2 linked regions of the Oryctolagus cuniculus genome follow. The protein of the gene in region 1 interacts with the protein of each later gene in a pairwise test. Links are inferred from orthologs where the notes say so. Each region holds a gene or a part of one and is shown in the gene's direction. Other genes may lie near its edges.

What was found.
Region 2: the proteins of SRRM4 (region 1) and ZRSR2 interact in binary tests that used the Homo sapiens proteins (3 or more experiments, as listed by UniProt). The link is inferred for Oryctolagus cuniculus from reciprocal best matches to the Homo sapiens genes SRRM4 and ZRSR2.

What each region holds. Positions count from the first base shown.
Region 1 is NC_091452.1:15,289,191-15,292,865, forward strand, and holds the end of SRRM4 (serine/arginine repetitive matrix protein 4), read left to right. Parts: intron 1-384; coding exon 385-525; intron 526-2,080; coding exon 2,081-2,351; 3' UTR 2,352-3,010; downstream 3,011-3,675. UniProt on the Homo sapiens protein: Splicing factor specifically required for neural cell differentiation.
Region 2 is NC_091453.1:1,928,756-1,932,666, forward strand, and holds the start of ZRSR2 (U2 small nuclear ribonucleoprotein auxiliary factor 35 kDa subunit-related protein 2), read left to right. Parts: upstream 1-1,203; 5' UTR 1,204-1,550; coding exon 1,551-1,591; intron 1,592-1,990; coding exon 1,991-2,070; intron 2,071-3,911. UniProt on the Homo sapiens protein: Pre-mRNA-binding protein required for splicing of both U2- and U12-type introns. Selectively interacts with the 3'-splice site of U2- and U12-type pre-mRNAs and promotes different steps in U2 and U12 intron splicing.

The sequences.
Region 1 (3,675 bases):
AGGCCCCGCCCCCAGGTCTGGCCACGCCCCAGGACAAAGCTCCGCCTCTCAGCCCCACCCCTTCGCCCCAGTCGTCCTTTTAAGCCCCGCCCTCGCCCTGGTGGATGGAAGCAGTTGCCTTGATCCAATCAGGAGTGGCACCCAGGCCCAGGTTCACCTGTGTCGTGATGTCCCCACTGCCAGCACCCCCACGGCCGCACCCCAGAACCCATGGCCACACCCATCAGCCTCCTCACCCGCATCCCTATTCTCACTCGCACTCTGGCCCCAGCGGCGCCTGCATCTGGTGGCTCCCACCCGCCAAGGCGGGTCCACGCAGGCTCTTCCCCAAGGCCCGGGGCAACCCCAGCCCCAGCTCCCCAGTTACCCGCCGTACCCCTCTAGGGAGCGGGACCCCAAGTACAGCGAGAAGGACTCGCAGCCGCGGGGGCACGAGCGCGCGCGTCGGAGACGGCGGTCCTACTCGCCCATGCGCAAGCGCCGGAGAGACTCCCCGAGCCACCTGGAGGCGCGGAGGATAACCAGGTGAGGCCGCCCTGCCTCCCACCCGCGGTCCCGCCCGTTCGGGTCCCGAGCCCTCCGCCTCAGCCACCGGGAGGCCGGCATTTAGGGACCTGTACAGCTTTGAGACCTTCAGCTCCGCACCCCAGCCCTGCCTCTAGGATCAATCAACTCCCGTCCCGCCCCCTGGGGCCTGCGGGGGGCGGGGCCAGAGAAGGGATGGGGCCATCCTGGGAGTGGGTGTGGCCTGGAAGGTGTCTAGGAGTCTGAGGGTGGAGCCTGGCAGGCAGGGCTGGGGAAGGGAAAGGAGTCTGGCCTGGGAGTGGGAGTGTAGAGCCAGATGCACAGCCGTGGACTCGGTATTGGCCTGGTGATGGAGTCTGGCATTGGAGACAGACGGCACCCTCAGGCCCACCTCTGGGTCTACTGAACCAGGTGTACAGAGAGCTGCAGGACTACCTGGGTGCTGGGGGCAACTTGGAGGGCGCCTTAGTGGCCAGCTCTGGATTTCGAGCCCAGTCCTGGCCGAGCCACTCCCACGTGACCTGGGAAAGCCTCTCCACTTCTTCCAGTGGTAGGAAATAACTCTCCGGATAGGAGGAGGGTGAGTTGAAAGGGAGCACAGAGATGAGAGCCCGTGCCTTGTGCACTGAGACGCAGCGTGCACCGGGTGCCCTTGCAACTGGCCGTGTGGTCGGAGCAGGTGCAGGTGGCTGGCGGTGCCACGTGAGGTCTCAGAAGAGAAAGGCCCAGGGTCCGAGTGGAAATGAGTTTCTGCAGCCTTGGAAGCTGGGAGAACGACTGAGGTTGCCGTGCTAAATTTGGTTCGGGCTCCTCAGCCGCTCACCCTCCACCCCCGTAGAGGAGCGGCGAGCCTGGCTGCCCAGTGAGCCCTCCCTGCAGATGGGCTGGTGGACAGACAGGAGCCCGGGCCTGGAGCCCCTGCCTCAGCCCTTAGAAGTCGGGGGTTTTCTGTTCTTCCTGCCTCGCCCAGAGCCATCACTGGGCTCGGCTTGGAGGAGGGCTGAGCTAGAGAGAGTGGCATTCCGGAGGCTGCCTGGTCTCCCCAGCCCCGAAAAATCCATGTTGTTAACCCGTCCCGCGTTTCCCAGACCTCAGCCCTTCGGCTGTGTCTTCACTTTTACCTTGTGTGCTCGTGAAAGGAACTATGGGTGACTTGATTTTCCTTGAATAGATATGCCCCTTTTTTTTCTTTTTTTTTTTTCTTTTTGTAGAGGCCCGTGCATTTATGTCAAAAAAAAAAAAACATACAGTACAGTAAATGGAAAATCAGCTTCTCTCACCATAAATAGAAGGTTCTAGTAAAAGTAAAAATAGCAACAGAAAACCACCATTAAGCTTTGGTATGGATTCTGTTGCCAGCTGGAGGCTCCGAGCCCTGGGCTCGCTGCTTTTTTAAGTGAGATTATCAGTTTTCAAGATGATTTAGCACTGAGCCAACACTTTCTCCTTGGTGTGTTGGGGTGGGGGTGGGGGTGGCAAGGGAAGGGGAGAGGGGCTGGGTCGGGGCTGGGAGGAGTGCCGCCCTCACGCATGCGTCCTCCTGTGGTCTCTGCAGTGCCCGGAAACGCCCCATCCCCTACTACCGGCCCAGCCCGTCCTCACCCAGCAGCCTCAGCAGCTCCTCCTCCTGGTACAGCAGCAGCAGCAGCAGCCGCTCCGGCAGCCGCAGCTACTCCCGGAGCCAGACTCGGAGCCGGAGCCGCAGCCGGAGCCGGAGCAGGACCCGCACTAGCAGCAGCTCGAGCTCCCGAAGTCCCAGCCTGGGCTCCCGGAGCCGGAGCCGGAGCTACAGCTCTGCGGGCAGCTACGGCAGCACGAGGCGCTAAGCACCAGGGCCTCCGAGAGCCGGCTGCCCCCGGGGGCTCCTTTCGCTCTGCCAGCCTCCCCCTCCCACCTGCCCTCCCCGCCTTCTCCTTGGTGACAGATACTGAGGGCTCCTGGACCCTGCCCCTCCTGCTCCTCCAGGGAGGAGGCAAAGAGAATGCGGGGGTTCCACCCTCTACGACAGGCTGCTACGAGCCTCTACCAGCACCGTTCTGGGGCTCAGCTCAGGCCTGGGCAAATGGAGAGACACATCCTCCTCGGGCACACAAGAAAAAAACCAAAAACTCACGGTTTTGTAAGAAGCAATGGGCCAGGACGGCCGAGACAGCTCTGTTCACCCTCTGCTCATAGGATGCACCCGGAAGGCCATGAGAGATTCACCCCATCTGCCCTCAATCTCCCCTCATGCAGTCTCTTGGCTGCATGTTTATGGGACCCACCCTCCATGTTCAGGGGAGAGTCGAGAGAGGAGGCCCAGCCAAGTTCAAGTCTGAGATAAGGAGCCAGGCCTTCCACCAGCTCCAACAGGCCAGAGCTCAGAAGCCCAGGATCCTGCGAGAGGGAAGGACATAAGAGCAGGGCACGTGGGCAGTGGAGTCGGTGGCAGGTGACAGGAGATGGCAGTGGGTTCTCCAGCGATAGGAGAAAGGAAGGAGTCCTCCACAGCTCCCAGGATCCCAGTGTGGTCACGGGAAGCAGCCTGGCAGGTCCCAGCCACGGAGAGGCTACCACTTGGCTGACCCAGAATGCCTCCTGGCTGGCCACAGCCCTGAATGCCACAAGAAAGGAGACAGGGGAACGGTCGGGAGAGCTTGGACCACAGCGCCACTTCCCAAATTTGCCTCAGCCCCACTGGCTGGCACCAACTTAATTCCACGGGACCATCTGCTGAACATTCCCCAGGGCCATGGCCACACGCCAGTCCCCAGCGCCAGCCAGTCTGGCCTTGCCCTGCAGTTGGCGCCTGCCCACCCTCTCCCCACCGCCCAGGCAGCCACACCCTGGATCCTACCCAGTGCAGCCTGGCTCCCTCCCACCCAGGCACCCTTCGGTCCCAGTCACCCCCCTTGCCACTCAGGAATTTTGCCAGGATGGGGCACAGTGGCTCAGGTTTGGAGGCGAAGGACCCAATTCCAGAGACGCCCTAGGGATGAGGGGCTTGGGTGCTGTGCAGCCTGGGTGCCTGCTGGCTTCAGAAGCTTCCTGTCGGCCTGAGGATGCCCCGCCTTCCCCTGCCCAGGGCTGGGCGGCGAGGGCAAGCTGAGCTCCATCCGAGTCACAAATACCACCAGCTGCTTCAGCTACAGAAGGCACGGAGCACGGGGA
Region 2 (3,911 bases), on another chromosome or scaffold:
ATGTCTCAGTAGGAGGCAGTAGGGCAGGAATTATGCCAGATTTGCACATCAGATGGGTGATTCTAAGGAGGGGCTGGGGGGAAACAGGCAATTTAGTAATTAGGTATCTCAGCAATTTTAATTTGAAGGAGACAGGAACAAAGCTAAGTCAGGGACATTATTCAGTCACTCAAAAAAAATGGGAGAAGTTACTTTGCTGCTGTAATGTGTACTTGAGAGAAACATTTTTTCTTGGCCTTATACATGGGCCTTGTATGTGAACATCACAGTCCAAATATTAGTAGAGCTAGTTTTCACCTTCTCAATCCTCACTTTCATTGTCATAGTGTAATTCCTCATCACTTTGTACGTAGATTATTGTGATACTGTATTGCAGCTTTATCTTTTAATCCTTTAAACTACAAACCACAACAATTTACCTAAACCACAAAAGGGGTCACAACAGGCCACTACCTAAAAGCGTTCAAGAGTCCCCCATTACACAGAACAAATCTAAGTGCCTTAATATGGCATATCATTCCTAGCCCCAGACTATCTCTACGGCATTATTCCTTGATACTCTGGATTTGCAGTTTATATTGGATTGTCAAAATTCCTTCTGTTCGTATTGATGACTGCTACACCTCAGCAAGGGGCTTCGGCAACCTTTGATGCCATTTCCAAGACCTAGAGTTATCTGACCCCTGAGCTGTGCAGTGTTCACCAAGCCTCACTACCAAGAATTCACTGACTCTTGTAAAGAACCACACCAGAGCGTCTGTGCGAGGACCCAGGCTCTAGCTGTGGCTACACAAGAAAAACAGTAAATTAAGCCTGTTTGAAAAAAAATATCTTGCTGTTCTCAGAATATTATCAGTCCCTTTGCTTACTTAGTCTGATCTGCTTGCAACCCCATGGCCACCCTTCTTCACCTTGTTAAAGGCTATCTTCCTTCAAAACTGGAGCATCATAAATTGCCTGAATCCCCAAGTGGACTACACTTCATCTTTGCCTGCACCATGTTATATTATTTGTGTACTGGTCCTATTCTGTGCCCCCACAGTGAACTCCTTAGGGACAGAAGTTACACCTCCGCATCCCCAGGAGTTAGGTTCACTTAGGGCGCCAGTAGTTGTGAATGGATTTGTGTAAGGCAGTGATAGGTGAAGCCACGATGGGAGGTGGAGCCTGAAGGCAGTCCAATGGGAAGCGACGCGAGCAGCTCTGGGCGGAATGCGGCTTCGGGAACGGATGATGAGAAAGATGGAGAGGCCCAAGACATTGCACCATGGCGCAGAGGGAGACAGTGAGAAAGCAATGGGGAAGCTCTGTGAGCGAATAATTTCCAGGGCCGGGAAAGAACTCCGGAGCACTTTTTCCGGAAGGACGTCTTTATCTGGACAGGGTTTTGGCAGACGAGCCACAGAAAGGAACCCCATGCCCTGAGTCTCGGGTCCGCGCGAGCCGAGGCTTTGTTCCTTGTGCGCCTGCGCGCGCCCCCGCTGCTCTTAAGCACGCCTTTTCCGGCCAGGTCTTGGGGGGAGGGGGAAGGCGGAGCAGCATTGGCAAAGATGGCGGCGCCGGAGAGTGTGATGTTTTCCGAGAAACGTAGGTAAGCTCTGCCGAGGGAGGTGAGTTGGCAAAATAGGGGGATGCAGCGGGCCGAACCTGGGCACGGAGAATATACTCACAGGAAGGAAAGGAGCTGGGCTAAGCGAGGGAGCCAGCGCAGCAGTTCGAAACCTTTCTGGGGCTCGCGCTGAACTGTCATGGGCGTCCGTGGGCTCAGTGAGTTGAGGAGGGGAACAGGTGGCGGGTTGGAGAAGAGCTGGAGTATGGGCGTGGAAGGACAGAGCCATGGGAGCTCCGTGTTCTGCAGTTAACGGGGAACAAGACTTCTCTCCCGAGCGATTTGCTGTAACTGGTCCTAGAAGAGAGCGAACTCGGGCAGCGCTGCAGTTGGGGCCGCTGACGCTGATGCTGTGTGTGATGGTGAATCTCAATCTTCCAGCCACAAAAAGTACAGGGCAGCTCTGAAAAAGGAGAAACGAAAGAAACGGCGGCAGGAACTCGCGCGATTGAGAGACTCAGGTAGTGAACTCTTTATCCTGTTTGCTTCTTTTCCTCCTGCCCTAACTTCATAACGCACTTTCAAAAGGAAGTCAGGCTGTGGCTCCTGCCTCCCAGCTGTGTTAGCTGTGTCAGAAACAATGTTAACGAATTACGGAGGGGGAAAGTCACAAAGAGTTAACACTTACTGATGCTGCTTCAGTGTTTATAAAGTAATGTTACAGGGGCAGTCAGCATGAATTACAGTAGCTAGGACAAACCTTGCACATAGGAAGTAGTCAGTGAAAGAAACTTTTTTCTTTTTTGGTTAAGTCAGCAGGAGTCCAGCGATTTAGTTAGACATTTTGCAACTTTTACTCACAGTTGAGTAAAATAAGAAACCTTATATTGGTCTCAAACTACTATATTATTTAAGTGTTTATAAGCATAAAACTAGTGAAATTTAATAGATTATACAATAATACATTTACTTAAAAATTATAAAACCAAATGAAATTACACATCTTAGAATTAAAATATGCATTAATGTAATGCTAGGATGACGTGAAAGATGCTCCCTACAGCATGCATATGATGCTGATGAGAATTTGGAATGCTTCTATGATGGTTGGCCTATTGTTTTGTTTCAATTAAACTGTAGCAGAATCTTCAGTTGTACAGCTGAACATGATGTCATTTGGCCTTCACATGGCAGAACCTAACATTTATGTATTATACCTGCCTGTTTAATACAATAAAATTATGATTTAGTTAAAAGATTATATAATAGTTGTAAATGCAGCTGGGGTCACCGAAATCACACAGCAGTAGTGCTTTATAATGGTTGCCATCCAGATTATTCAAATATGCTAATTATATTAGCCTAGACAATTTTTAAGATTTTATTTTTATTTATTTATTTTTAAAGATTTATTTATTTATTTGAAAGGCAGAGTTACAGAGACGTAGAGGCAGAGAGAGAGAGAGAGAGAGGTCTTCCATCCGCTGGTTCACTCCCCAAATGGCCTCAACGGGTGGAGCTGGGCCAATACGAAGCCAGGAGCCAGGAACTTCTTCTGGGTCTTCCGCTTGGGTGCAGGGACCCAAGCACTTGAGCCATCTTCCACTGCTTTCCCAGGCCACAGCAGAGAGCTGGATCAGAAGTGGAGCAGCCAGGACTCTAACTGGTGTCCGTAAGGGATGCCAGCACTACAAGTGGTGGCTTTACCCACTACACCACAACACCGGTCCCTCTTTTTATTTATTTTTGTCATTTGAAAGGCAGAGTGACAGAGAGAATCTTACATCCACTAGTTTACTCCCTAAATATCTACAACACACAATGGCTGGAGCAGGGCCAGGCCAAAGTTAGGAGCCCTGAACTCAATCTGGATCTCCCATGTGGGTGATAGGGGCCTAAATACTTGAGCCATCTTCTGCTGCTTTCCCAGGTCCATTAGCAGGAGCTGGATGAGAAGTGGAGCAGCAGGGACTTGAACTGGTGCTCATATGGAATGTGTTGTAGCTTAACTCGCTGCACCACAATACCAGCCCCTGTTACATTCCCTTAAGGTCACTTCAGATCTGATCCATTTTTCCTCCACTTTCACTGTTTCCTCAAATTTAAGTTTTGAATAGGGAATGATATTAATTTTTATTGTATTAAAAATCATTTAATGGGGGCCAGTGCTGTGGCATAGTGGATAAAGCCACTGCCTGCAGTGCTGACAGTCCATATGGGCGCCGGATTGAGAACTGTCTACTCTACTTCTTTTTTTTTTTTTTTTTTTTTGACAGGCAGAGTGGATAGTGAGAGAGAGAGACAGAGAGAAAGGTCTTCCTTTTCGCCGTTGGTTCACCTCCAATGGCCGCCACAGCTGGCG